Linked DNA regions of Oryctolagus cuniculus. The protein of the gene in region 1 interacts with the protein of each later gene in a biochemical or structural test. Links are inferred from orthologs where the notes say so. Each region holds a gene or a part of one and is shown in the gene's direction. Other genes may lie near its edges.

Region 1 (4,256 bases):
ACCAGAGAGGAGAGTGACTGATGGGGGCCAGGGAGCAGATGCGGCAGGCACCCTGGTGACCCCGTTTAGCCAGCCACCCGGCACAGCGCTGTGCAGAGAGAGGCAGGCCCTGGGGCCTCTGAGACGTGGGAGCCCAGGAATGGGACCTCATCCTGAGCCCGCTCTGGGCTGACTCCCCCAACAAGGAGGGCAGACAGGAAGGAATGCAGGGCCAGCCGGCTGTACAGCCTCGCCGGGGCACAGGCTCTCCGATGCCCTGCAGGGTCAAGGGGCCCAGCAGGGCCAGGCCTCAAGCTGGGCAGGGGATGGGGTGGGGTTGTCCCAGCCTCCTGCCAAAACCACCGTGGCTGTCACCAGGCAACCCGGGGCCAGGGCTTTCTCCGTGGGGGGCTGAGAACGGCCGCTGCACAGCGGGAGGGGGGCGCGCCGAACATGCTTCTCCCACTCCAGACAAACGGCCCAACAAGACAGCTTTGTTCTGGGGACGTTCCTGCTTGGGGGCCCAGGGACCGGGCCTCACCGGGGAGCCCCCAGTTTAGGCCCCTCCCCGCTGCCCCACTTGGAACACCCTGCCGCCCGCACCCCCCAGGAGTGAGCCTCCTCTCTGCACTCCTCTCGTGTCTCCGCTTTGACAATAACTCTCAGCTGGTTGGCTTCCCCGGCCCCATCCCACGCCATCCCCTTTCCTTTGGTCCCGCCACCTTGCTCTCCATCCCCAAGGCCTCTTCCTCGCGTGGGCCGCAGCCTGACCGCCCCTACCTTTGGCTGAGCGGGGCCCTAGGGGCTTCGAGAAGAGTTCTGGTCCCGGAGAGCAGTCCTAGGACTTTCAAAAAAAAAAAGTGCTCGGCCAGGGGCGGCCGGACCCTCCCTCCCCCTCCCCGGTCGTCCCTCCCACGTCCCCTAGAGCCCTCCCACATTCCGCTTTCTCCCTCCATTCCTCCCCGGCCAGTTCCCTCCTCTTCGCCTCTGGGTCCTCCCCTCCCCCGTGAAGCTGGCCGCTGCCGCGCCCCTTCCCCCTCCCCGACCCTCGAGCCGACTCAATGAAGCTTTCTTCTCCCGCAGGTCGGAGGCCCGGCTGCTGCGGTCAGGGAGCTGGACTCGCAAGCGGCCACCGGGCGGCGGCGAAGCCTCCTGCCCCAGCTCCCAGCCTCCCTCCCCGCCTGGCTCAGCGGAGATAAACAGTCTCCCTCGGGTTGGCCTGGGGGCGGGCCCGCAGGACAACTGAAGCCCTGCGGGCCCACTGGGCCCCTTCATTGCTGTTTCGAAGTGATGTCACGGCCTTGTCTCTGATGTCATGTTGGGATTGTGACGTCACACGCAGCCCCGGCACGCGGGCGCCAAGGCGGTCTGACTGGAACCACAGTTTCACTCGCCGGAGCCACTTGTGCACGCCCCCAGAGGGGTGGGTAGGGGTCTGGAGCTGCGCCGCCCGGCTTACCTGGGGACCCCGACCCCCTTCCTCCTGGCTCCTCTGCCCCCCCACCCAGTGCCGCCGGCGGGGGCCGGCGGGAACGCCCCTGGCCGGTTCGACCCCGCCCCCGGCCCCGCCTCACGCCCGCAGGGCCAGGAAGCGCGGAAAGAACCGCCGGGGGCCATGGACGGGGCCGTGATGGAAGGGCCGCTCTTCCTGCAGAGTCAGCGCTTTGGGACCAAGGTAGCGGGGGGCAGGGGGTGTCGAACCCCAACGGGGCTAAAGTGAGTGAAAGGGCCGGGAGGGAGGGGGCGAGCGGCGCGTGAGAGCCGCAGAGTCCCGTGACGTGCCCGCGAAGTTGCTCTGCACGCTCCGGAGAGGCGTCTGCAGGCTCGCAGTGGCGCCTCCGGGCCCCGGGGAGGCCGAGCGGCATCCTCCTCGCGAAGCCCCAGACCCTAAATCGGCCTGCGCGGGAGCCACCCGCGCACGCCGGCTCCCTCCCCAGTGTCGCTCGCTCTCTCCCTAGAGGTGGAGGAAGACCTGGGCCGTGCTCTACCCGGCCAGCCCCCACGGCGTAGCGCGCCTCGAGTTCTTCGACCACAAGGGGTCGAGCTCTGGAGGTGGCCGAGGGGGCTCGCGCCGCCTGGACTGCAAGGTGATCCGTCTGGCCGAATGCGTGAGCGTGGCCCCCGTGGCCGTGGAGAGCCCCCCGGAGCCCGGCGCCACTGCCTTCCGCCTGGACACGGCGCAGCGCTCGCACCTGCTTGCGGCCGATGCGCCTTCCAGCGCCGCCTGGGTGCAGTCGCTGTGCCGAAATGCCTTTCCGGTGAGGGGGCCCCCCGGGCTAGCGGCCCTGGACCTGAGGGGGCGGTGTGGGAGGGGGGCAGTCACAGCAGCACCAGAACCTGGGGACCTCAGACCCCCCGCAGCCACGCTGAGAGAATGACAGAGTGGCGGCGGGTGCGCTCTCTTTGCAACAGAAAGGCAGCTGGGCTCAGGCGCCCGCCGAGAACCCGAACCCGCCTCAGCTTTCTGCGCTGAAGATGCTGGAGAACTCGCTGTACAGCCCCACCTGGGAAGGTGCTGCAGCCGCCTGGGAGCGATGGAGTGGGGAGGAGGAGGGCCTCCGGGGAGCCGGGGATTAGAGGGTGCAGGGGCCCCGCGGAGAGGTAGGAAGCCTGGGATTCGGCTTCCCGCGAGCGCTGGGACACTGCTCGTGGTCCCCACCCCTGCCCATCTTCTGTTTTAGCAGGTGCTAGTGTAACGGTGCGTTCCTTCCAGGGTCCCAGTTCTGGGTAACCGTGCAGAGGACTGAGGCCGCCGAGCGCTGCGGGCTGCATGGCTCCTACGTGCTGAGGGTAGAGGCCGAGAGGCTGACTCTTCTGACTGTGGGGGCCCAGAAGCAGGTCCTGGAGCCACTCCTCTCCTGGCCCTACACCCTGTTGCGTCGCTATGGCCGGGACAAGGTGCAGCCGCTGTCTGGGAGAACTATCGGGGGAGGGCTTCCTGGGTCCCAGGGCAGCTGTGGGTGAGGCGGGGCAGGGCAGGAAGGTGGGGAGCTCTGCTCTTGGGATCCTCTTCCTTTTCTGCCTCATGACCCAGCCCGGTGCCGGCATTGCCTTTTCTGCAGGTACCTTAGCACTAGTTCACGCCCCCTGACTCCCCTGCCCCCTCCCAAGGTAATGTGTTTCCTTCCTTTCACGCCCTGCACAGGTCATGTTCTCTTTTGAGGCCGGTCGCCGCTGCCCCTCGGGCCCTGGAACGTTCACCTTCCAGACAGCACAGGGGAATGACATCTTTCAGGCCGTGGAGACGGCCATCCACCGGCAGAAGGTCCAGGGAAAGGCTGGCCAGGGGCACGAGGTTCTCAGGGCGGACTCTCAGGAAGGAGAGGTGCTGGAAGGGAAGTTGGCTTCCCCTCCTGGCCCCCAGGAGCCCCTGGGAAATCCCCCAGCCCTGTATGCAGAGCCCTTAGACTCCCTCCGTGTTCCCCCTGGCCCCTCCCAGGACTCCCTGTACTCAGATCCCCTGGACAGCACTGCTGCTGGGGCAGGGGAGGGGGGACCGCAGAAGAAGCGTCTCTACTGGGACTTGTACGAGCACGTGCAAGAGCAGCTGCTGAAGGCCAAGGTGACAGACACCAAAGAGGACCCCATCTATGATGAGCCGGAGGGCCTGGCCCCGGCCCCGCCCCGGGGCCTGTACGACTTGCCTCAGGAGCCCAAGGACGCATGGTGGTGCCAGGCTCGGCTGAAGGAGGAGGGCTATGAGCTCCCCTACAACCCTGCCACTGATGACTATGCTGTACCCCCGCCTCGGAGCACAAAGCCCCTTCCTGCTCCCAAGCCCCAGGGCCCAACCTTTCCGGAACCTGGTGTCACGACCGGCAGTGGCAGCAAAGCCCCCAGCTCAGACACTGCCCTGTACAGCCAGGTCCAGAAGTGTGGAGCTTCCGGCAGCTAGGACCATGGGCAGTCTAGGGCAGGGAGTGGCAGGACTGGGGTCCAGTCAGAGGGCTCCACTTGAGAAGCAGGGCAAGGCCGGGGTTGCTGATGGAAGGACCACGAGGGCGATGGCACTGGGGATCAAAGAAACCTGTTAGAGCCAGCGTGTGTGAGCCCAGGGGAGCCAAGGGCTGGGGGCTGAGGGAAGGCCTGTCAATCCCAGGAAGTCCTAGGAAGCGAACCAACTGGCAGGGCTGGATGCTAGGCTCCAGGGAGGGTCAGCCAGCCCCCTCCCGCGGAAACAGAGTTGCTTGGCCAAGTGCACAGAAAGAGGTACTTAGAGGGGACAGCTTGGGGGGCCTGCGTGGAGGCTCAAGGGAACTGCTGGACTCTGCCTGCGT
Region 2 (3,930 bases), on another chromosome or scaffold:
CTTCAGGTCCTGTGCTTTTTTCAAATCGCACCTGAGCCAGCACATCTCTGGAGAAGATGAAAACCTACTTATCCAGAGTCACAAAAAGCGATAGATTTTCACATTCGGCTGGGCCTAGGGTGGACCCTACAACCTAGGTCACGTTCAGCTTGCTGCGGGAGAGACGGGCAGAGAGGCGCCAACCGCTAAGTATGGTCTACCTGCAATGTCCTTAGCAAGGAAATCCAAGTTTGCTTCTCTCTACTCAGCCATGCTTTCTGCGGCCAATTCCGAGGGCACACGCACCCTGACGACTTTTCTCAACAGTCACTCACTTAACAAATATTTGCGCAGGGACTCAAGGCCAGACATTGTGCAAGGCAGACAAGACAAAGGTGAACCAAGACAGACGAGATCTCTGCTCTCTTAAAAACATACTTCTCGTGGAGGATGCAGGGGGAGGGAACAGGCTTGGGAGGGCATGGCTGGAGCTGGGTAAGCAAGGGGCGCGCCGGGGGGCGGGTGAGTCTTGGGAGATTAATTTGGAGGGGCTGGCGGAATCCGGAGCGGAGGGAGCCCTCAGGGCCACGCCCGAGAGGCATTTTCCTTGCAGCCACTCAGAGCCCGTGGCTGCGGTTGTCCTAGCCCACTTAACCCCGGGTCAATCCAACCTTCATACCCCCTATTGATATCAATCAGGACACTTAGCCACCTGGAGTCCCTCGGCCTTTCAGGTCACCTAGGGCCTGCGTCATCCACTCGCCTCCAGGACTCATCCTCTGGCCGGGCTCCCTCGGGCCGCTTAGACCCGGCCAGGTCACCTCAGTGCCACGCCTCCATGGCCCGCGATTCGCCCGGCACGTTACGCTTTGTTTCCCAGAAGCAGGTTTTCAACCCGCCGCTCCCTCCTCAGCTCCAGCTGTTTTCCTGCCAGCGCTGGGAGGCCCAGCGGCCGCAGCGCCCCCGGCGGCGGAGGACCGAGGCCCAGGAAGGGAGTGCCCGCCGCCCCCCACCTCCTCAGCCTCCTCCCGGAACGCGGGAGCGGGCGCGAGCGGCGCGCGCCCGGACCGCCCCGACCGTGCTCCTGATTGGCTGTGACCCGTGACGTCACGGGGAGGGCCTCGGCGGCCGCAGGGAGCCGGAGCTCCCGCGCGTGCGCAGACGGAGCGCGCTGAGCGGAGGGGGGTGGTGGCCGGTCGCTTGTCCCGCGTCCGCCATTTTGTTGCTGTGGCTATTGGGAACGGGCTGGTCCAAACTGCCCCGGAGGCACGAAGCTCTCTGGAGTCCGGTGCTTCGTGTGACGGCGTGGGGGGTCCGTGAAGACTTGTGGGGCTGCGGAGCCGGTGCGTTCTAGGCCGGGAGTCACCGGAGCCACCCCCTCCCGGCCCCGGGACGCCAGGCAGCCAGATAACCCCGGGGCGGCCTCCGCTGCGGCTCGGCGTCGCCCGCCCAAGGCTCTGCCCCGCATCCCCCCGGGCCGGCTCTCTGTGTGAGGCGGCCTCGGAGCAGGCGGGCGGCGGCAGAGGATGCTGCGGGCCCGGAGCCCAGAGAAAGGTGCTGGCCGGGCCGTGTGAGCGCGCTCCGCGGTGTGCCCAGAGGCCCTGCCTCGGCCCCAGCGCCGTCTGCCGAGCTTCCAGGCTTCCAGGGCAGGCGAGAGCAGCCGCCACCCCGCCGTCGGCCCGACACCATGTCTTCGGCCAGGTTCGACTCCTCAGACCGCGCCTCCTGGTACATGGGGCCGGTGTCTCGCCAGGAGGCGCAGACCCGGCTCCAGGGCCAGCGCCACGGCATGTTCCTGGTGCGCGACTCCTCCACCTGCCCCGGGGATTACGTGCTCTCGGTGTCGGAGAACTCGCGGGTCTCCCACTATATCATCAACTCGCTGCCCAACCGCCGCTTTAAGATCGGGGACCAGGAGTTCGACCACTTGCCGGCCCTGCTGGAGTTCTACAAGATCCACTACCTGGACACCACCACCCTCATCGAGCCCGCGCCCAGGTAACGCGAGCTGCCGCCCTTCCCCGGCGCGCGACCCCCGCCACCGCCGAGGAGGGAGGGGAGGGCATGTCCGGGTGAGGGGCTGGAGCCCGGTCCTCCCCAGCCCTCAATCCAGAACCGCATTGTTCCCCAGAAGGCGTTCCGAACGGGAACGGTTAGTGTCAGGATCTGGGTCACTGGATCAGAGGGCTGCGTGTAAAATCGCGGGAGCGGCGATCGTATAGCTGAAACTCACGCCTTTTGTCATGTTTTCTGCAGTACTAATGGGGTTTTATTTATTTGTTCTTAAAATTTTTTTTTGGGGGGGGTGGGACCATAAACTGCTTTTGAGAATTTGAAGATAGCCAGAGGGTGTCTCCACCCGCCAGAAAGTGCCGGTACACGGAGGTTCACCCCTTGCAGATCTCCAGGTTAAGAACCCCTGGGCTGCAGCCCTTGGGTAGTCGCCAAATGAAAATGCTTTAGCGTTTAGCAGCACAAACCTGTAACTGAAAGAAGTGTCGGCTGATGGTCTGGTGCCAAGTTTGAAGCAGCCCAGACACACCTGTTTCACCTTACATGAATGACAAAGAAAAGAGAAAGTGCGACGCCTTCAGCGAGGGCTTTTTGGGGGGGGGGGGAGTTGGGGGGTTGTACCCTCTCCTCAGGTGGATCATTCAATAGGCTCACGCCTTAGTTTCTGTTTTTTAAAGACAAGAACCCGCAGTGACATTACCGAGCATAATGCGCTATTTTATTTGATTGTTTTCTTTAATTGGTTTAAGCGGGTTTTTTTAGCGGTTTATTTTGTTTAAAATTATGCCAAATTGGAATTGAAAAAATTGCCTAGATTTTTTTTCAAAGGATGTTTCACTGCTCAGTTGGTTTCCTAAAACATCTGTTTAAAAAGAACGGGATGTTGATGTAGTTTTTTTCCTGGAGTGAGGTGTTCCTGACTTTATAGATTGCCTAATGACAAGGTATTGTGCTAAACTTAAAACATTAAGAGCTATTATAATTAATTAAAAACACCAACTGAATGCATAAGTGTTGCTTCTGTGAAATAGAGAAGAAAGCAAGCCACAGTGGTATATTGACTGTAAGATTACTTAGCTAAGAGAGAAAGTCATATAAATCAAATACCGTATAACAAAGGCCACGACGCCAAGAATCTCATTGGTCAGACTCCAAATCCTAACCTGCTAGGAGATAAAGTCCGAACGAGTGTCATTCCAGTGTAAGAGGTGGATGCGAACCTTACCACTGTAATATGGTATTTGTAATACAAGTAAATCCCTTCTCTAGTTTGTACAAGTAAACTGCCTCTATGAAGCTGTATTGTGTGGTTATAACGAGGGGACAGTTGCTGTAATACAGCTGTTGGTTTGAAAAAGTGTGAGTTAATGGGTGAGCTTCCACCAGAGGGAGAGAAGGAAGTACGCTATGGTGGGCTTCCCACTCCCCACAAAACCCAGATTTCCCATAGGCATCTTCCCAGCGTCGGCGCTCTCATCCATGCCTTACGCCTCTGTACCTTTGGTTGTTCATTGACAGACTCCACCCACGCTCCACCTATTGAAATCCTACCTGTTGTCAGTCCCCTCACAAATAATAGGGTGTTTCGCCCTGATCCTCCCCCTCACAATCCACTTATATAACTCTTTCTCTTTCTCTGTGCCCTCTGCCCATGGTTGCTGTTTTTTCCTGAGTATCCCAGTACTGGTCAAATTAGATCTGGGCTTGATTTACTTTTTTATGCTGAATCTTTTTTTTAAGATTTTTTTTTGAAATTCGGAGTTACAGAGAGAGGGGGAAAAGACAGAGACCCTCCATCCTCTCTGGTTCACTCCCCAAATGGCAGTAACAGTCAGGGCTGGACCAGGCCCAAGCCAGGAGTCTGGAACCCCATCTAGGTCTCTGTTGTGGGTGGTAGGGGCCTAAGCCCTGGGTCATCTTCCACTCTTCTCTCAGGCG
Region 3 (3,967 bases), on another chromosome or scaffold:
AGAGAGACAGAGAGAAAGGTCTTCCTTTGCCGTTGGTTCACCCTCCAATGGCCGCCGCGGTCAGCGCGCTGCGGCCGGCGCACCGCGCTGATCCGATGGCAGGAACCAGGAGCCAGGTGCTTTTCCTGGTCTCCCATGGGGTGCAGGGCCCAAGCACCTGGGCCATCCTCCACTGCACTCCCTGGCCACAGCAGAGGGCTGGCCTGGAAGAGGGGCAACCGGGACAGAATCCGGCGCCCCGACCGGGACTAGAACCTGGTGTGCCGGCGCCGCTAGGCGGAGGATTAGCCTAGTGAGCCGCGGCGCCGGCCCCTTGTTTGTTTTTTAAGATTTATTTATTTATTTATTCGAAAGGCAGAGTGACAGAGAGAGAGAGAGAGAGAGAGAGAGAGAGAGAGATATCTTTCATCTGCTGGCTCACTCCTCAAATAGCCACAGTGGCAGGAGCTGAGTCAGGCTGTAGCCAGGAGCCAGAAACTCCATCCTGGTCTCCCACCTGGGTGCATCATCTGCTGCTTTCCCAGGTGCATTAGCTGGGAGCTGAATTCCCAGCAGGGCAGCCAGGACTTCCAGAAGGGGTGCTGGCCGGGCACGTGGCAGCTTAACCTGCTGCACCACAGCATGGGACCCTAGTGCTTGGTTTGAGGCTGCAGAGGCAACGGTGGAAGCAGGGGTGGAACCCCAGGCCAGGGGTCAGGACTCACTACTAGCGGCAAAGGCTGGGACTGTAACAGAAGAGGAGGCTTCGCTTTCTCTAAAACAGAGCTGTGGGGAGCGACACCCCTCCCCCACTGGATGTGGCCCGAGGGAAGTCTCTGGCTGCTCCCTACCCTCCCCAGGCACAGAGACAGCATCCACAGCAGCGGCTCCGGTGACAGCAGTCTGAGGTCCTCTGGCTGAGTGGACCTGTTCCTGGGCTTCCCCAGGAGGAACTGGCCTTCCTGTGGCAGAGAAAAGCCCATCTTCCCCCACCCCAGGGATGCCCACAGCACAGGTGTCGGTCGGGAACCATCGGGAAAGCTCTGCCTGGGGCAGGGGCTGGGAAAGCAGCCGGGGTGCGGGGAGAGGCCTGGGAGAGCCGACCCCCACAACCAGGGGCCGGCGGGAAGTGAGGGCGGGCGGGCCTGGATCTGGGGGCCCCTCCCCACTGCGGGCAGCCGGGTCGGGGCTGGGGCGTGACAACGAATTCTCCCCGCCGCCACCACTGCCACCGCCGCCCGCGGCTGCAATAAGAGAAGTCCGAGGCGGCTTCCTCCTCCCTTGTCCAGAGGGGGCGGCGGGCAGAGGCGGGCAGCACCCCAGCCCTCGCCCACGTCGGCACTCGTAGCTGCGTGAGCCCCGGCTGGCTCGCCGGGGGCTGGCGGAATCAGGCTCCCCTGGCACCAGGTAGGTCTGGCCGCGGCAGGTGGGGGCTGGGACAGGTCTGGGAGAGGAGGGGGCGGGCTGGAGGCAGTAGGGACACTTGAACTTAGACAAGCTACAGAAGTTGAAGGCCAAGGGAACCTCACCTCGAAAAGGGCTGAGGGGGGAAACCGCAGAGACCTGGGAGTAACCTGCGGGGCAGGGCCCGGGGCATCTGGGAACCCCCAAGGCGGGGTCTGGCGGGGAGGCGGAGTGGGGGCCTGGAGGGTGCGATTTGGAACGCGGGGTGAGAGTCGGGGGAGGCCTGGGGTAGAGAGTGCGGGGACTCTGAAAATGCAGCATTTGGGAAGGAGTTCCGTGGGGTGCGGGGACATTCGAGAAGAGGGTCAGGGAGAGCGAGTTCTGGCCCGCGCAGTTTAACGGGGCCATTCAGGGGCCCAGTAAGTACCCTCTGTTCCGCATCGTCAGAAGTCGGGGGTCAAGCCTAGGCCCGCAGGCCTGCGGCCCCCAGACCTGCCCGCCCCCGCACTGGTGGGCGCCAGGGGCCGGCCGCAGGGACTCCTGCAGGGCGCTTCCTGGGGAAGTCCCCGCCCTCCGCAGGGACGGCCTCTCCCGGCGCCCCCTCCCCGCCAGCGGCGGCGGCCTCGGTCCGCGTTCCTCTCGGGATCCGGGAATTGCTGGCCGCCCCGACGGAAATCCTGCCTTTGACCGCGAAGGCGCGGAGGGGCTGTGTCCATGGCAACCAGAGGGCGGAGAGGCGAGCTGGGCTCTGGCTGCTTCGGGGCTGGTGGCCGGCGCAGCCCCCCACCCCCACCCCGGGGGCCCGGTCTTTGCTGCAATTTGGAGTCCTTATCTTGGGAGGGGTGCGGGACAGAGGAGGGGGTGCTGATGTTCCATGATCTGGGATCCTGGAGTGGGGGGCTCTTAGCAAGACTATGTCCTCAGTTGCTGTGTGACTGTTGCAGGTCAGGCTTCTCTGGGCCGCCTCCTTCTGTTTGAGCTATGGAGATAGAAGCTGGCTACACCTGCCTGCTGGCCCCGGGTGAGACCCTGGCCTGCAATGCGGGTTTTGCTGAGGGTCCTGGAGGGGGTAAGGGGCTCTGTCCTTTGCCTTCTCAAAAACATGGAGGGGGACAAGAGAGGGACCCACACACAGAGGGCACCTAACAAACAGATGTCCTACATCTCTTGTAGGACCCATGCTGGGGAGATCAGCAGGGGTGAGATCTGTCCCCCACCTTTCTTGGTGCCACACCCAGGTGGCCACCCCTCCAGTCAGTGGTTTTTTCAGGGATCCTGAGGCCTTTGGCACCTTTTCATCTGTGCTGGGGATGGGAAAGCAGGCTGCTAACCCCACTTCACAGATGGGGAGAGGGAGGTTTGGGAGTCGGTGACTGGCAGGACCCACAGTAGGGACCAACAGTCCAGGGCACCTTGCCTCTGAGCCACCCCGCCCCCCAATCTCATCCCTACCCAATCTCTCAGAGCCCCCTGGAGAGGGAAGAGGTACATGGGGGAGGAGGTTGGGGGTCCTTGGGCTCCTCCACCAGCTCCTGCTCCCCAGTGGGTGTGAAGCAGTGAGCGTGGGCGAGAGAGAGAGAGAGAGAGAGAGAGAGAGAGAGAGAGAGAGAATGTGCGTGTGGTTTGGGCTTTGGGTGAATGCGTGTGAGCCTGTGAGCATCTGTGTGTGCACTGGGTTTCCTCTGCACCCACCTGGGGCTGGTGTGGTGAGGGAAATGGCCTGACCTTCGGAGTTTGGGGAAGGATGAGCCAGGGTGCACTCCCACCCTTGGGCTGCCCAAGGTGGGAGAGGGCCCGATGCCCCACCCTGCAGGACCTGGGAGGGGGCTTCCGGTCTGCCACACTGTGGAACCCGGACTCCTCTGCCCTCAGCTGCCCCTGGGCACGGAGCCAGCTCCTGAAAATGCTGAAGCCCAGGCCAAGCAAGTGGCACTGGGAGCCCTGTGCAGAGGCTGGCGTGGGTGGTTCAGTGCAGGTAGGAAACCACAGTACTGCTGAGAAGCGGTGCCCTCGGGAGCCAGCTAGGGCCGACGGGCCGGCACCCGGGGTGCGGGGTGGATGCCCGCAGCCACGGCTCTGGTCTTGGCGAGGGGCCCAATGGCACTGGGACTCACCTGCCGACCTTAGCCTTTCCCCTGCCCCACCCCTGCCCGGCCGGAGCCTTGAGGAGAAGCCGGAACTCTTGCAGGATGGTGGTTTCCGGCTGCTGCCCAGAGTCCCAGTTCCCTTTTGGTGAAATCCCCCATGCGTGGTTGAGGCCAGCCCAGCCCTCCCACCTCGCCTGGGAACTTCTCTTTCTTCTCCGCTCTGCCCAGCCCCGTGCCCTCAGCTGCCTCCCCCTACTGTGGAGGGTCTTCCTCAAAGGAAAGGAGGGGAGTGAACCTTCACTGAGCACCTACTGTGTGCCTGATGCTTTGGGGGCTTGACTGCATTTGAAGCAACCCCTTGAGGGAAAGATCTGCATTCCTGTTTTTTAGGTAGAGCATTGACAGCTGAGGGAGCTGCACGCATGCTCTTTCTCGGGCAGGGGAGAATTTCAGCCTGAATCTGTCTCTGGATCTCACAGATACTAGGCTGGGGGTGG
Region 4 (4,023 bases), on another chromosome or scaffold:
CCTTCACATCTGAGGAATTAACTAACTCTGGGAAACATTTTACAAGCATGCATCTGTACCAAAAATGTCATTTTGATTCTTGTTATTTCCAAAACAATACAGTATAACGGCTATTTACATGCATTTACACTGTGTTAGTTATTGCAAGGAATCCAGAGAGGAGTTGGTGTACATGGAGGGTGTGCTTATGTGCAAACGCTACACCACTTTATTAAAAAAAAAAAAAAAAAAAAAAAGGGATTCGAGCATCCTGAGAGCCTGGTATCCCGTGGTGGAGGCCCTGGGACCAGTTCCCCAGGGATACTTTTAAAGAGAACACAAAACCCCTCCTTGTGCGCTTTAAGGGTGAGGTCCAGGCTATTACTGTTGAACACCCTGGACAAGGGGCTTGTGCAGGCGCTCCGCCCCGGGCTCCGGCACTTCTCACACCTCCTCACCGTCCACCTGGACGGGCGCCGGCACGGGGCGGCGGACACCGCGCTCCACACCACGACCGCCTGCCCGCACGGCTCCCGGCACCCGCGGCGCTTTCCCGAGTTCCGGGACTGCCGCCTTGGAGCTGACCTGCCAGTGCGGCAGTCGCCGTGCGGTCACTGCGCCCCACACCCGCGCTGCGCTGACCTTCGCCGCGCGCCCGCCCGCCCCGTCGGGCCTCCGCGCCGCCGCTTTTCGTCACCGTCAGCGAGCGCGGCAGTGGCTCCGGTGGGCTCTTCCTTCCGCTCCATGCTCTTCCAGCTCCTCTCGCCTCCCGGGGTTTCATGTCAGCCTGCCACACACACACACAGACACACACACACGCACACACACGCGCGCGCGCGCGCGGCCGGGCCAGGCCGCCGCGCCGCCTCCGCCCCTCGCGGGCCGCTTCCCGCCCCGCCCGCCCCGCGCGGCCGCGCCTGCGCAGAAGCCGCCCTCCGCCTCCGCCGCCCTTCCTCTCCCCGCCGCTCCTCCCCGGCCCCGCCCTCCTTTCTCTCTCTCTCTCTCTCTCCCTCCCGGTCTGTCTCGGGTTTCACTACCCGAGCGCTGCAGGTAGCGAGCAGCGCCGCGGTTTCCTCGCCACCCCGCCCCTCCCGCCTCCCCTGCCCACCCCTCCCCGCGCCGGGCTGGTGGAGGATGCAGCGGCTGCCGGGGCTGCGTCCCAGGCAGCGGCCCCGGCGGCGGCGGCTGCGGTGGGGGTGGCCGGAACTCGGGTGGTGAGCGAGCGGCGGCGGCTGAGGGAGCGGCGGCCGCCTCGGCCGCTTCCCCCGGGCTTCCCTTCCTCCCGAGCGCAGGAAGTTTTCCGCGTCCGTGCATGTGTGTGCGCGTGAGTGTGGGTGTGCGAGGCGAGCCCGGGGCGGCGTTTGTGCCGGCGCTGGGCTTTTTTTGCCCACTTGGCGCTCCGTAACGCAGGCGGCTCCGCGAGTCTGGGCTGTGGCCCGGGGAGGGGGCGCGGCGGCGGCGGCGGCGGCGGCGGCGGCGGGCTCTCTCCTTTTGTTGTTGTTTCCTCCGCCTGGGGAGCTGAAGGGGGGACGCGCCTGGGTGGGGCGGCTCGGAGCCCGGGCCTGCTGGCCCCCGGGGCTCCCGGGCGGGCCGCGCAGGCTGAGCGCAGCGGGCTTCAACATGATGGCCGCCGAGGCCGGCAGTGAGGAGGGCGGCCCGGTGGCTGCCGGAGCCGGAGGCGGCGGCGGCGGCGGCGGCGCGGCCGCGGGCTCCGGTGCCGCCTACCCGGTGGTGTGTCGCGTGAAGCTCCCCGCGGCCGCCGCCCCCTGCCCCGGGCTGGTGGAGGCCGGGGCGCTGGGTGGCGGGGCCGCTGTGGGGTCGGGGTTCCTGGGGGCCGGGTCCGTGGCGGGGGCCCTGGGGGGCGCGGGACTGACAGGGGGAGGCGCTGCTGGACCTAGTGGGGACATGGCCCTCCCCAAGGGGACCCCCTTGCTGCCGGCCGAGACCCTCGGGCCGGGCGGCGGCTTCCCGCCTCTGCCGCCGCCGCCGCCGCCTCTGCTGCCCCCGCTGGGTGCGGGTCTGGGCACGGTGGACGAAGGGGACTCCCTGGATGGACCAGAGTACGAGGAGGAAGAGGTGGCCATCCCGCTGACGGCGCCGCCGACTAACCAGTAAGTGGGCTGTGCGGTTGCGGGCTTGGGGGAAGACGCACCTTGTTCTCTGGCGGCTGTGATTTGTTGTGCAGAGTTGGTGGAGCTGCGGGTGTCGCGCGTAGGGATTTAACTGGAGCGCTCCTCTTCCCGACAGGCGGGCTCCCGGGGCGTCTTTGTGTGTTCATGGCTCCTCTGGGAAGATGTAGTTTTTAAGATGGGACGCATGGGAAAAGTGTGTGTCCAGTGAGAACCGGATATGGTTGTGTGCCCTGCAAATGGGTGCCCCAGGATTCGCCAAGCCTGCCCGGAGCCAAGGCAGTCGCAGTGTACATGGACTTGTGTGTGTGTGCGCCCTGATGAGTTAGTGTGTAGGGATAGCGTGGAGAGAAAACAATCCATTGACCAGAATGCTTTGCTTTTGTGGCACCGACTTCTCCAACTTCTGTCTACGAAGGCAGAGTGATGCAGCGAAGTGTTGATCCCTTAGGCGAACGTGGGTCCGGGAGAAAGAAGAGTTGTGAGAGTTAGGCGTGTGATGAAGGACTCAGGTTCTGAGCTGGTAACGTGTTTCGTAGACTGACTTGGTTGATGGACCTGTAATGCTTTTGTAGTTCAGACGCTCGAAGTACAGTCTTCATGCGAAACAGATTTTAACGGCGCTTCGCTTCAGAATTTTTGTTGGTGGCCAATACGGTCTTCTATTTGAAATTAATTTTGACATTTAGAATATGCAGGGCATGACTTTTTAAATATAACTTAAATGTTGGAACAGGAAGGGACACTAGTAGGCAAAACGTGATCTGTCACATCAGTCTTAAATGATGTTTAGGATTTCAGCAGCCTTGGTGAGCATCAGGAAAAAAACATTTGGTTGGTATGTGGATGGATGGTCACTCTGGACAAGCCAAAGGTGTTTTTTGTTTTGTTTTGTTTTGTTTTTAATACTTTGGAGGATTTAGAAAGACTTTAAAAAGTGATGAGGAGGGCTTGCAGCTGTGGTGTAACAGGTAAAGCTGCCACCTGCAGCAACAGCATTTCACATGAGCCTGGTTGGAAACCCAGGTGCTTCACTTCCAATCCAGGTCCCTGCTAATAACCTGGGAAAGCAGTGGAGAATGGCCCAAGTCCTTGGGTCCCTGCACCTACATCGGAGACCTGGAGGAGGCTCTTGGCTCCTGGCTTCTGCCTGGCCCTTGTGGCCATATGGGATATGGGGAGTGAACCATTGGATGGAAGATTCTCTAGCTCTGTGTCCCCCCCCCCCCCGCAATTCTGATTTTCAAAATGAATCTTAAGAAAAAAGTAATTAGGAAAATTAGGAAAAGATGCTGTATTACTGACACATTAATTTTTTTGTTTGATTTTATTCCAAGTTATTTCATGTGTGTGTCTTGCAGATTTCTTGGGAATGTTAAAAATTGGTTTTTTAGTGCTACTTGCACACCTTCGAGTCTTTTTTGGAAAAAATGACAGGTAAATATTATGTGCACACTTAATATTAAGTACTTATTGCTAAGGTTTTAATAAACTGTAATTTTTCATATTAAAAGAATCTAGTCTTATACCAGTTCATAACTGAATTGATTTAGGCCTATTTAGGATATTGTAGTTCAAAAAATTTTTTAATAGATTGTTATCTAGAGCAATTTTAGCTTACAGCAGAATTGAGTGGAAAGCAGAGTGTTCTTGTTAAATTTTTAATAATAAAGATGAGTGTGTACTTAGGAAAATATGGATTTGTGAGAAGTCTGTTCAGTGAGATTTTCATCATTTTTTTGTATTTAGGAGTAAGAATAAAACTTGTACGTCTGTGTATATGACAGTTGTTGATGTTCTAAAAGTACCCTCCATGTCTAAGTATGCTTTTAAAATATACTACTTAGAAGTGCAAATTTCCTTTTTTTTTTTAATCTTAGATGTCAATCTAGAGTTACTGGAGGCAATATAGTAT
Region 5 (3,500 bases), on another chromosome or scaffold:
CGTGGAGTCACACATACGTGTTTTGGTTGTACGAAGGCTGTTAAAATGTTTGTAAATTAAGGTGCTTTGATATTAGAAACTCAATTTGCTGCTTTCAGAATTATTCAGCTTCTCATCTTCTGATTATTTCCTCTAAATCATATAGAATAGATCAGACATCCTAATTATGCAAATCTAAGTGACTGCAAAATCAGTATAAAACTTCTTGAAGTATTGAAGGATGGTATGGAATGGATTTTCGGATTTCACAGTACAGCAATCGTCCCCACCCACCCACCCTGATGAAGTGGAGATAATTGGCTGATGTTGATCAGAAATTCAAATTGTAATTTCAGTATAAACTGTCCATGAAATCACTTTCATCAAAGAGAAACAGAATGTTACATGGGTTGTGGTGGAGGCCTCTGAGAGTACCTTCCTTAGATGAGCCTCACTGTGCCACTGCAGGAAAGAGGAATTTGAGCTAAATGTAACCAAGGTGAACTGTGGTACCACCAGGCCCCTCCCAACTCTGGGAAGAGTGGGGCGCTGTCTGAGTCAAGGGCAGCCCGAGAAAGCCTGGATGGGTTGGGACTTGTTCTTCACTGCTGGTGACAGAGCCGTGACCACATGTATTCAAACAAGTCCCCGGAACAGGGAGACGGCCAGCTCTGGGCTGACATGACACTTCTAGAAGGTCACCAGGACCCCGGTCACTTAGGTTTCTCCCTCTGCTTTCCCCAGTGTTCGGTGTCCGTGGCAGCTGGGACTCTTTATCTTCATTTGATTCTAAGCAGAAAGCAGGACCAGGAAAGGGAGAGGTTTTGCCAAAGCCCTGAACAGCCACGGTGCACATCTGTGCAGAGGGCTGGAATGGTTGGAAGTGCAGTCGTTATGCTGGGCCAGTCACCCCCCACATAAAGCTAGGGTTCTGTTACCAGATAGAAAGAGGAACGATGATGAGGTGTGCATCTAGCAGATGCCGGCCAGAGCCTTGTTCACTTCCTGCCATTCTCAGAAGGCAGGGCCCTCCCCCTGAGCCGTGTAGTCATGACAAAGCACTGCAGAATTTTCTCCCTCGACTCCCCCTCTTTCCAGCTTCAGAAATGAGCAAATCCAAACGCCATTTGCTGTTAGAAAAATGAATCACAACATGAATATGAGCAAGAAAAGCTAAACCTACATTTTTTTTTCCTAACCAATATTCTCTCGTAGGTTCCAGAATCTCAGCTTTTACCAGGACAGAGGTTTCAAACTAAAGGTATGTTTCCATAGCAGTGTTGTTCATTTGTTTTTTTTACTGTGAAAGCCTCTATAAAGTGGTTTCCTAGATGATTTTACTTGCATTTTTATTGTGGGAATATACAAAAAACGGAAAATTTACCATCGTTGCCATGTTTAAGTGTGCAGCTCAGTGGCAGGAAGTGTGCTTACACTGTTGTGTAACCGTCACCACCATCCATCTCTAGAACCTTCTCGTCTGCCCAGATGAGAACTTTGTATCCATTGAACACTGACCTCCTGTCTGCCCATACCCAGCCCCTGGCCACCCCCACCTACTGTCTGTCTCTAGGAAGTTGAATACTGTAGATACCTTGTATAGATGGAACCATACGATATTTATCTTTCTCTCTCTGCCTTATTTCATTTGACATAATATCTCCAAGATTCCTCCAGTACACAGCTTGTATCAGAATTTCTTTCCTTTTTAAAGCTGAATAAGATGCCATTATTCCATACATACATGCACACATACACACCACATTATTTTCCATTCACCCATCCCTGGGCACTAGGCATCTTTGGGTTATTGTGAATAATACTGCTATGAACACGAGTGAGGTCTCATTTCTTGAATATAGAACTAGAATGGTTTGTGATAACAGATACCATAATTAGTGTGTCCCAGCATATAGACCGTGTGAACCCTGAGTGTCTCCAGTTAGCAAACTCCATGTCCTCATTCCGGTTTCTCCTGTCATTAGCACTTCAGCTCATTCTTTGCACCTGTTGAGGGTTTGTGAACTCATTTCTGCTGCTGAATCCTCCAAGGTCTTTACTTATGTTCTTCCTTTTTAGATCCAGAGGAACAAGGGGACATTGTGGTGGCCTTGTACCCCTATGATGGCATCCACCAGGACGACTTGTCTTTCAAGAAAGGAGAGAAGATGAAAGTGCTGGAGGAGTAAGTGCTCCCGGGGCTGGGGTGATTGCTTCTTTCCTCAGGCTGCTGGGGCCCGCAGTCTGTCCCCTCATTTTGCTCGCAGTAGCAGAACCATAGCCAGACTGCCTGCTTGGGGAACGGGAGGCCTTGCATCCCCCTTGTTGCACTGTGTAGGACCTACTCCCTGCAGGGAGCATGACCGAGAGGTTTCCCCTGGAGTCCAGCTGAGCACCTTTCAGGTTTCTGTTTGCAGAGGCTCTGGTTTTTGCCTTATCCCACGGGGCCACCTGAAGAAGTCTGGGTTGTGCAGCCTATTCTTTAAGATGCCATTTTTATTTCATTGCATTGTGTAGATTTGGACTGGGTATGTGGGCCCATTTGGTTTGATTTCCTGCTTAAAAGATTTATTTATTTATTTGAAAGGCAGAATGACACAGAGAGAGAATTTTCCATCTGCTGGTTCACTTTTCGAGTGACCACAGTGGCCGTGCTGGGCCAGCTCAAAGCCAGGAGCCAGGAACTCCATCTGGATTTCCTCCTTGAGGGCAGGGGTCCAAGAACTTGGGCCACCTTCCACTGCTTTCCACGATACATTAACAGGGTGCTGAATTGGAAGTGGAGCACTCAGATATGGGATGCCGGCATCATGGGCTGCAGCTTTATTTGCTGCACCACAACCCTGGTACATAATTTGTTTGATTTCAAAAGGGACTGTGCTACTGTAGCTGTCACTTCAGAAAAGCCATCACCTTAAACACTGATCATTTCTTTATGGTGAGTACATTTAAAATCCTCTGTTCAGACTGTTCTGAGACATCCATGCATGATTGTTAACTATATTCACCTTGCTGTGCCTTAGAACACCAGTGCCTGTCCCTCCTATCTACCTGTGACTTTGTAGGTATTGGCTGACCTCTCCCCACATCCCCAACCCCTATGGGGGCATCTCCTCTGTGAAGATACTTGGACGTGGTCATTTCCTCCACCCTCCATGCTGGTTCTCAGACATGTGGTCCCTGTCAGACCACAGGGGTACAGGGCGGTACTCCATGGGCCAGCACTTGCCACAGTGGTTAGGACACAGCTTGGGACACCTGTATCCCATATCAGAATGCCTAGGTCCACTCTCAAGACCAGCTTTCCTGTTACTACATATCCAAGTAGGCAGCAGAATGGTTCAAGTAGTTGAGTCTCTGCCACCTTTGTGGAAGACCCAGATTGAATTCCCAACTCTTGGCTTTGGGCTGGCCCAGCTCTGGCTTTGTGGTCATTTGGAGAGTAAACCAGTGGATGGAAGAGCTCTCTCTGTGATTGTGACTGTGTCTGTGTCTGTCTCTTTCTGCCTTTCAAGTAAATA
Region 6 (4,113 bases), on another chromosome or scaffold:
CATTCAGTTACTTGTGACAGTCACACATTTGCTCGGCTCTGGATTCCAGGTACAAGCCCTTAAAGACATCATTCTGTGGTGTTACACGGGGGGTTATAAAGCAGAGTGCATCTCCAGGGAGAGAGGTACGGCCAGGGCGTGGGGCTCTCCTGTCACTGGGAATGGAGACCAGGACAAGTCTTCAGGTCAGGTGCAGCCCACAGTGACTTCCGGGAGCCTCAGTCACCGTCTCCGTGGAAACCCACGCCAGGTCTCGTTTGGACCTCAGGATGACCTCGTAAGGGAAGCAGCCCCGAGCCCCACGAGCAGGTGAAGGAGCCAGGTGGGTCCCCTGGGAAGGTGTCGGCGGGCAGGGGGGAGCAGCTGGCAAAGGTGCCGGGTCCGAGATGAGACTCCCAGCGTCCAGACGGCCCCTGCCCCTCGCAACACGCGCTCTGAGCGCGAGGGCAGCGTGTCCACCGCGGCACCCAGCACCGCCGGACGCCTGCTGGGTGCGTCTGTTGGAGTTCTGATTCGATTACCCGGATTTTAGCCAAACTGGAGGACGAAGACGTGGAGGAAGTGAGTGAAGCGTGCATGGGCTCACAGGAAAAGCAAACGCCACCCCCCGCCCCCCCACTAAAGAAAAGTGAGGGCGCTGAGCAGGGTCAATGGTGGGAGGGACCGATGCCGCCGGTCAGGGCCGCCCGCCCGCGCGAAGCCCAAGCGATTAGCCCCGAAGACCCTCAGGGCCCCACCTGCTGCGCGTCCAGGGACCCCAGGGGCCCTCTCCTCGCGAAGCCGGTGCCGGTTCCCAGCCCAGCGGAAGCCCCTGCGAGACCCCTGGCGCCCCCGCGGCGGGGGCAGCGTCCCGAGGCCTGGGGCGCACGGCAGAGAGGAGGAAACCCCAGCCCGCTTCCGCGTCCGCACTCGGGGAGCCGGCCCCGGGGCGCAAGGCGACGGCGCACTCGACGGAGGCCGGCCCCGGGCCCGGGGCGAGCGCTGCTCCTGCCCGGGCGCCGCCCCTGCGGCCCTGTCTTCTCCAGCGCCGGGGTCTGCAAGGGCGCAGGGGCGGAGCGCACCGAATCCCCCGGTTTCCAGGAAGGAATCCGACTCCGGTTCTCGGAGAATCCGATCCACAGCTTGGCCCCTGCTTTGGCGCCCCGCCGGCCAGCCCGACGCGAGGCCGGCGAGAGCACCGGCTCCGGAGAGCTACGGCCAGAAGCGCTTCAGCCGGGAGCAGCGCGCAGGACGCCTCGGCGCCGCGGGACTACAACTCCCGGCACGCCCCGCGGGCTGCGCCGACTTCCATTGGCCGAAGCCTCCAGCATGCCAGCCCGCGTCGACCAATGGGATGGAGGAGAGAGGCCTGGCCAGGATCCTCGGAGGCCAATCGCAGTACAGGGGAGGCGGGCGCTTCCTTACCACTCACCTTGCACTCGGAAAAGTCGCCTTTAAAAGGTCGTCCCGGGCCGGGCTCCTGCGAGGCACTGAGGCCAGAGCCAGAAGGTGCGACGGGGTCCCAGGAAAGCGGCGCCGGGGGCATCCCAGTCCACGCGAGGCGGGCTCCGGACGGCGCCGGGGGGCGGGGCCGGGGGCGGGGCCTGGCCTCGTTGTGGAGCGGCTCGTAATCCATCATGGCGGCCGCGGGGGTCGGCCACTGTCCCTGAGCAGCGCCGAAGTCGGAGCCGGTTCCTGGGTGCTGCGGTTGAGGAGCCCCTTCGTGGCCCACGGCCCCTACCGGCGGGGGGCAGGCGGGGTCCCTCGGCGGAGTTCGGGGGATGTGACTGCTTGGCGGCGGCGGCAGCGTCCGGGGCCGCGGGACGGGGGTGTCTCGGGCAGAGACCCCCGGGCTCGGGGCAGCTGAGGCGGCCAGGCCTCCTCTCTCGTCGGCCCGTCTCCCGCCTTCGGGCCGCGCGAGTCTTTCGTCTCTGCAGCCCCGCCGCGGCTCTGGGACGCCCCCCCCCCGGGGTGGTCTCTGTTCGCTCCGGACGTGGGACGCCCCCGTTTCCTGAGGCGTGGAGAAGCGTCGCCCCCCGAGTAAGCCGCCCGTGCCCCGCCCCGGAGTCGCCCCCCGCTCCCGCTGCCGGCCCCAAGGCTGGCCGCCGGAGACCCCCATTCAGACCCGCTGCGTGCTGTCAGGTGGCCTCCCATGGCCCGCCAGGTTGCCCCCGCCAGCCTCTGATGCCCTGACTTCTTCCAATGTCACCTACGGCCCCCTTGGTCTCAGCCCAGCCAGAAACTTCCATGCAAAGGAAGAGCCTGGATTGGTTTCACAGGCCTTTTAAAAAGCGGACTTAAAAGTTGCTGGCCATGCATTCCGTGCCGAGCGCGCCGAGATCCGGCTGACCCGCGCGTCCTTTTCCGGAGGGCCGGGGAGAGCGAGGAGCCGGAGCGCAGCCGGCCCGGCCCGGCCCGGCGGGAGCTTTGCTGGGGGACAGGCGCGGGCGAGCACCCCGGGGCCCGCGACGCTGCCGGAAGGACTAAGGGATTGTCGCCCTGCGCCCCACCGCTCCGGGAATAGTTCTGCTTAGGTGCGTCTTCCCAAAAAAGAAAAAGCGTGGTTCACTCAGTGGAGTATCCTTAAAGACGGCGAAACCTTTGGGGAGTGTGGGAATCACCTTACTCCCCAAAGCCCGAGGCTGGGAACAGTCAGCGGGCCCCCCGTGTCCATGCGTGGAGCCCCCGGCAGGTGCCTGCCCGCGACTGCCCGTGCGGGCCGCCGTGGCGTGGCGGGCATGCGCTGAGTGTGGAAGGCCCCGCCGAGGCCACCGACCGTTCCGGAAGCTCCTGGACCCTCTTCTGGAAAGGGGAGCCCCGCGCTAACTTTATGGGGCAGCAGCCTGGAAAAGTTCTTGGGGACCAGAGAAGGCCGAGTCTGCCCGCCCTGCACTTCATCAAAGGAGCCGGCAAGAAGGACTCGGCGCGCCATGGGGGCCCGCACTGCAACGTCTTCGTGGAGCACGGTGAGTGTCGCGGGCGCGTCCCGGCGGCTCCGCGGGTGCCCGTGCCTGCCGCGTCCGCGGGTGCCCGTGCCTGCCGGCTCCGCGGGTGCCCGTGCCTGCCGCGTCCGCTGGGCGCTCGCGGTGGTCCCGGAGCCTCGCGTGGAACCCGCTTAGTCCTGGAAACGGTGTCCTGGTGCCTGCGTGCCCCCTGCACACCGAGCCGTGCGCCGCGTCCCCTTGGTGCTGACCCGGGGCCTCCGTTTCCCGACCAGGTGGCAGTTAGCTGGCTTCTTCGCGGCGGCTCCCCGACTCGCGTGGGTCCTTAGCGAGCCCGCGTCTGTTCTCACGGTTTGGGAACCTCAGGTCTCAGTTGACACGGAACCCCCTGGCCTTTAGGAGGGCAGTGGGGCCCGCAGACGCTCCCCGGCTCTGCGGGAGAAGGCAGCGTTCGGGGGCTGAGCCCGGAACTCCCCGCGGCCGGAGCCCGCGCCCGCTTCTCTCCCGGTGCAGGGGGACGCTGGGCGCTCTGGCGTTCCTGTGGGCGTCTTCTCTTCACCTCCAGTGATTCTGTGGGGGTGAAGCAGGGGTCGCCTGGCCGCCGTCTGAAACAGAGGTCGGACCACTGAATCAGCTTCGTTCGTTCGTGTCCTTTACCTTAACATAGTATCCTGGGTGGGAGGGGGCGCCACCTGTGATGCGGCATCTCCTGTGGGTGCAGCGTCGGTTCCTGGCTGCTCCACTTCTGATCCAGCTCCCTGCTCATGGCCTGGGAAAGCAGCAGAGGACGACCCCCGGGGCCCCTGCCACCCATGTGGGAGACCCGGATGAGGCTCCTGGCTTCAGCCTGGCCCAGTGCTGGCCGTCGCGGCCATCTGGGGAGTGAACCAACAGCTGGAAGCTCCCTCTCTCTGTTACTTTTTCAAAATAAATAAATCTTTAAAAAAAAACACCTTAACTGGGGGGCAGGCGTCATGGCCCAGTGAGTTAAGCGCCCCTTGGGATGCCCACATCTGTATAGGAATGTTGGGGTTTGAGTCCTAGCTGTCTCCAGGTTCCGGGTTTTTGCTGCTGATGGGTGTATCCTGGGAGACGGCAGACGATGGCCCAGGTGCTTGGGCACCTGCCACCCACATGGGAGATCCAGATGCAGTCCCAGCTCCTGGCTTTGGCCTGGCCCAGCCTGGGACTG
Region 7 (3,500 bases), about 87 Mb from region 1:
GATCGCAGGAGGAAGAGTGGTAAATGCGGAAGTATTCGTGTTTTATGCAAAGTCCTTAGCCTTCAGCTGCGTTAGTGGAAACGTAACTCCTGCAGCCTTCTCCTGCCTCCTTCAGGTCGCTTGGCTGGCATGGCGACAGTTTGGAAGGGCTGTGTTCCCTTTTCACTTGCTGACGTCTGCCCCCTTCTGTCTTGCAGAGAAGTGGGAGATTAACCCTTCAGAGCTGACCTTCATGCGGGAGCTGGGCAGCGGGCTCTTCGGAGTGGTGAGGCTTGGCAAGTGGCGAGCCCAGTACAAAGTAGCCATCAAAGCTATTAGGGAGGGCGCCATGTGTGAGGAGGACTTCATAGAAGAAGCTAAAGTGATGATGTAAGTCACGCGCAGCCCGTGGCCCTCCCGTGCCCTGGTGACTTCTGTTCTGTGGTACCTATGTGTGTGTGTGTGTGCCTTCCTTCCCAGGAAACTGACACACCCGAAGTTAGTCCAGCTTTACGGCGTTTGCACCCAGCAGAAACCCATCTACATCGTCACCGAGTTCATGGAGCGCGGCTGCCTTCTGAATTTCCTCCGGCAGAGACAAGGTCACTTCAGCAGAGATGCGCTGCTGAGCATGTGTCAGGACGTGTGTGAAGGCATGGAGTACCTGGAGAGAAACAGCTTCATCCACCGAGACCTGGTAACCAGGACCCTCCCGTGTGCCCGTTCATTGGCTGAAGTGCTGTGCAGCACAGGGTCAGCTCTGTGCTGGGAGGCATTCATGCCCATGTTTGTTTGTAACCATGTTTCACTGTATGTGTGGTTTTAAGATTTATTTATTTGTTTGAAAGTCAGTGTTGCAGAGAGAGAGAGGAAGAGAGAGAGAGAGGTATAGAGAGAGGAAGAGAGAGAGAGAGAGAGAGAGGGAGGGAGAGGTCTTCCATCTGGTGGTTCACTCCCCAAATGGCCACAATGGCCAGGGATGGACCAGGCCAAAGCCAGGAGCCAGGAGCTTCCTCCTAGTCTGCCACATGGGTGCAGGGGTCCAAGCACTTGGTCCATCCTCCACTGCTTTCCCAGGCCATTAACAGAGAGCTGGATCAGAACAGGGACAACCAAGACTCGAACCAGCACCCATATGGAATGCCAGCACTGCAGGCAGTGGCTTTACCCATTATGTCACAGCACTGGGTTCCACCATTATTTATTTATTTATTTTTTTAAATTTGAGAGTGAGAGTCACAGACAGAGAGAGGGAGAGACAGAGAAAGAAGTCTGCCATCCACTGGTTCACTCCCCAAATGGTGCAACAACCAGAGCTGGGCCAATCCAAAGCCAGGAGCCAGGAACTTCTTCTGGGTCTCCCATGTGGGTACAGGGGCCCAAGCCCTTGGGCTGTCTTCTTTTGCTTTCCCAGGCCATAGCAGAGAGCTGGATCTGAAGAAGAGCAGCCAGGACATGAACTGGCACCCATATGGGAAAGCCAGAGGCTTAGCCTGATGTGCCACAGGGTCAGCTCCAACCATTATTTTTAAACTTTGTAAATTTAACTCACCCCATTATCTTAAAGGAAAGATCTTTATTAAATGTAATGATTCGTGTAGTTAAAGTCTCCAAGCAACCCTCCTGACATCAGTTATCTGATCTCCAGAAGAGTGCTGTGAGGTCTGGCAGATTTTATCTCATCACTGTCCCCTAGGCAAGAAAGGCAGCTTTGGGGACGTGAAGTGGCTGCCTACTGTAACACACAGGGAAGTTAGGCTTGGCTTTGGCCTCTGACTAAATCCCAAATTGTTTCCCACCTCTCACACTATAAACAGAACCTTGATGAGAAATCCTTTGGTTCATTTTCTTTGTCTGTAATCCTCGGGCAAAGATGGAGACTCACGTGAACTTCTGACCCTACCAGGAAAGGAGATCTGTTGGTGGCACTAATTCATTGTGATGCACACTTCCTACTGTTTCTCCTCCCACTCTTTCTCCTCTGCTCCCCCTCCCACTCTTTCTCCTCTGCTCCATTCTCCCTGCTTTTCTCCACGAATGTGTCTGTTCTCATCCTGTCAGTAGCACCTTCACCAAAGCAAGCGTGGCTACCCTCTGGATGGTCTCGTATTCGAGTTGCACTTTTGTGGTCAAGCACAGACACAAGTCTTCCAGAGCAGCAGCAAAGCATTTTTTTTTTTTAAATTAAGGATCACCATCGGTAGATGTGGTTCTTTTCTTTAAGATTTATTTATCTAGTTGAAAGGCAGAGTTACAAAGAAGCAGAGGCAGAGAGAAAGAAAGAGAGAGATCTTCCATTTGCTGGTTCACTCTCCAAATGGCCCCAATGGCCCGGGCTGAGCCAATCCAAAGCCAGGAGCTTCCTCCAGACCTCTCGTGTAGTCGCGGGGCACAAGCACTTGTGCCATCCTCTACTGCCTGCCTTCCCAGGCCACAGCAGAGCTGGATCGAAGTGGAGTAGCCAGGGCTTGAATTGGCACCCACATGGGATGCTGGCACTGCAGGCGGCAGTTCTACCCACTACGCCGCAGCTTTGGCAACTAGATAAGGTTCTAATAAATATTTCACAAATGTAAACTCATTTTGAGTCATTATAACAACCCTTGGAATAGATATTATGATTCTACAAATAGGATAAGATAACTGACCAGTGTCAAGTCAGTTGTGGATCCAGGGTTTGAACCCAGGGAGTTTCACTCCAGAGTCTATACTGTAACCGCTGTGCTGTGTCATATCTAGATTTAAAGTATAACAGGGAGCTGATGACTTGGAGATGGAAGACTTGGTTTCCAACATGTATTTTGGGACAGTTACATAGTCTTTCTGATACTCTGTTTCCATATCTGTAAATTGTGGGTGTCGCTCCCCCTCTTCGTGGAGGAACGACACAGGACCCTGCGCTGTTTTTCGTCTGTTCGGCCCTCCCCGGGTTTGCTGCTGGTTCTTCCCGGGTTGGCTACTATCCCTTCCACCTCCGTGGAAGGGCGGTTCCCCCTGGCCACATTCCCCACTTCCGCAGGGGAGCGGCACACCGCCGGCCGGTTCTCTCGGGGGCTGCACAGGTGTTCCCTCAGATGTTCCCCTTAGATGTTCCCGGTGCATGCCGTCTCTCTCCTCCTTTATAGTCCTCCTCCGCCAATCCTAACTTGGCTGCCCACACGCCGAGTACGCTGCTCTCCAATCAGGAGCAAGTCCTACAGTTTATTGGTTGAACTGGAGGCAGCTGTGCGGAAGCTGTTTACTTCTCTCCCAGCACCATATTGTGGGAGAGCAGATGCATAGAATAAGTCTTAATTCCAGTAACTCAGTCCAGTCCGGGCCGCTCCCCACAGTGGGTATAATACTTTTTTGCTCAAAAGATTGTTCTAAACATCATATTGTACTGGGGCCAGTGCTGTGGCATAGCAGGTAAAGCTGCTACCTGCAGTGCCGGCATCCTATATGGGCTCCAGTTCAAGTCGCAGCTGCTGCATTTCCAATCCAGCTCTCTGCTGTGGCCTGGGGAAGCAGTACAAGATGAC

Evidence for each region.
Region 2: the proteins of DOK1 (region 1) and CRKL form a complex in vitro, tested with the Homo sapiens proteins (2 studies listed by BioGRID, with this or other methods). The link is inferred for Oryctolagus cuniculus from reciprocal best matches to the Homo sapiens genes DOK1 and CRKL.
Region 3: the proteins of DOK1 (region 1) and FGR form a complex in vitro, tested with the Homo sapiens proteins (2 studies listed by BioGRID, with this or other methods). The link is inferred for Oryctolagus cuniculus from reciprocal best matches to the Homo sapiens genes DOK1 and FGR.
Region 4: the proteins of DOK1 (region 1) and RASA1 form a complex in vitro, tested with the Homo sapiens proteins (2 studies listed by BioGRID, with this or other methods). The link is inferred for Oryctolagus cuniculus from reciprocal best matches to the Homo sapiens genes DOK1 and RASA1.
Region 5: of the proteins of DOK1 (region 1) and LYN, one has a biochemical effect on the other in vitro, tested with the Homo sapiens proteins (2 studies listed by BioGRID, with this or other methods). The link is inferred for Oryctolagus cuniculus from reciprocal best matches to the Homo sapiens genes DOK1 and LYN.
Region 6: the proteins of DOK1 (region 1) and ABL1 form a complex in vitro, tested with the Homo sapiens proteins (5 studies listed by BioGRID, with this or other methods). The link is inferred for Oryctolagus cuniculus from reciprocal best matches to the Homo sapiens genes DOK1 and ABL1.
Region 7: of the proteins of DOK1 (region 1) and TEC, one has a biochemical effect on the other in vitro, tested with the Homo sapiens proteins (2 studies listed by BioGRID, with this or other methods). The link is inferred for Oryctolagus cuniculus from reciprocal best matches to the Homo sapiens genes DOK1 and TEC.

What each region holds. Positions count from the first base shown.
Region 1 is NC_091433.1:128,406,402-128,410,657, reverse strand, and holds the start of DOK1 (docking protein 1), read left to right. Parts: upstream 1-1,456; 5' UTR 1,457-1,594; coding exon 1,595-1,654; intron 1,655-1,937; coding exon 1,938-2,237; intron 2,238-2,391; coding exon 2,392-2,491; intron 2,492-2,692; coding exon 2,693-2,877; intron 2,878-3,124; coding exon 3,125-3,874; 3' UTR 3,875-4,256. Other genes in the region: LOXL3 (lysyl oxidase homolog 3), read right to left, coding at 760-823, 1,026-1,254. UniProt on the Homo sapiens protein: DOK proteins are enzymatically inert adaptor or scaffolding proteins. They provide a docking platform for the assembly of multimolecular signaling complexes. DOK1 appears to be a negative regulator of the insulin signaling pathway.
Region 2 is NC_091452.1:29,679,627-29,683,556, forward strand, and holds the start of CRKL (crk-like protein), read left to right. Parts: upstream 1-1,130; 5' UTR 1,131-1,666; coding exon 1,667-1,977; intron 1,978-3,930. UniProt on the Homo sapiens protein: May mediate the transduction of intracellular signals.
Region 3 is NC_091438.1:143,942,568-143,946,534, forward strand, and holds the start of FGR (tyrosine-protein kinase Fgr), read left to right. Parts: upstream 1-1,167; 5' UTR 1,168-1,386; intron 1,387-3,967. UniProt on the Homo sapiens protein: Non-receptor tyrosine-protein kinase that transmits signals from cell surface receptors devoid of kinase activity and contributes to the regulation of immune responses, including neutrophil, monocyte, macrophage and mast cell functions, cytoskeleton remodeling in response to extracellular stimuli, phagocytosis, cell adhesion and migration.
Region 4 is NC_091445.1:10,198,827-10,202,849, forward strand, and holds the start of RASA1 (ras GTPase-activating protein 1), read left to right. Parts: upstream 1-1,223; 5' UTR 1,224-1,599; coding exon 1,600-2,090; intron 2,091-4,023. UniProt on the Homo sapiens protein: Inhibitory regulator of the Ras-cyclic AMP pathway. Stimulates the GTPase of normal but not oncogenic Ras p21; this stimulation may be further increased in the presence of NCK1.
Region 5 is NC_091437.1:81,210,349-81,213,848, forward strand, and holds part of LYN (tyrosine-protein kinase Lyn), read left to right. Parts: intron 1-1,194; coding exon 1,195-1,240; intron 1,241-2,058; coding exon 2,059-2,164; intron 2,165-3,500. UniProt on the Homo sapiens protein: Non-receptor tyrosine-protein kinase that transmits signals from cell surface receptors and plays an important role in the regulation of innate and adaptive immune responses, hematopoiesis, responses to growth factors and cytokines, integrin signaling, but also responses to DNA damage and genotoxic agents.
Region 6 is NC_091432.1:233,356,083-233,360,195, forward strand, and holds the start of ABL1 (tyrosine-protein kinase ABL1), read left to right. Parts: upstream 1-1,313; 5' UTR 1,314-1,328; coding exon 1,329-1,488; intron 1,489-2,181; coding exon of another isoform or gene 2,182-2,280; intron 2,281-2,426; exon of another isoform or gene 2,427-2,809; coding exon of another isoform or gene 2,810-2,945; intron 2,946-4,113. Other genes in the region: uncharacterized protein, read left to right, coding at 2,182-2,280. UniProt on the Homo sapiens protein: Non-receptor tyrosine-protein kinase that plays a role in many key processes linked to cell growth and survival such as cytoskeleton remodeling in response to extracellular stimuli, cell motility and adhesion, receptor endocytosis, autophagy, DNA damage response and apoptosis.
Region 7 is NC_091433.1:41,336,061-41,339,560, reverse strand, and holds part of TEC (tyrosine-protein kinase Tec), read left to right. Parts: intron 1-197; coding exon 198-369; intron 370-459; coding exon 460-676; intron 677-3,500.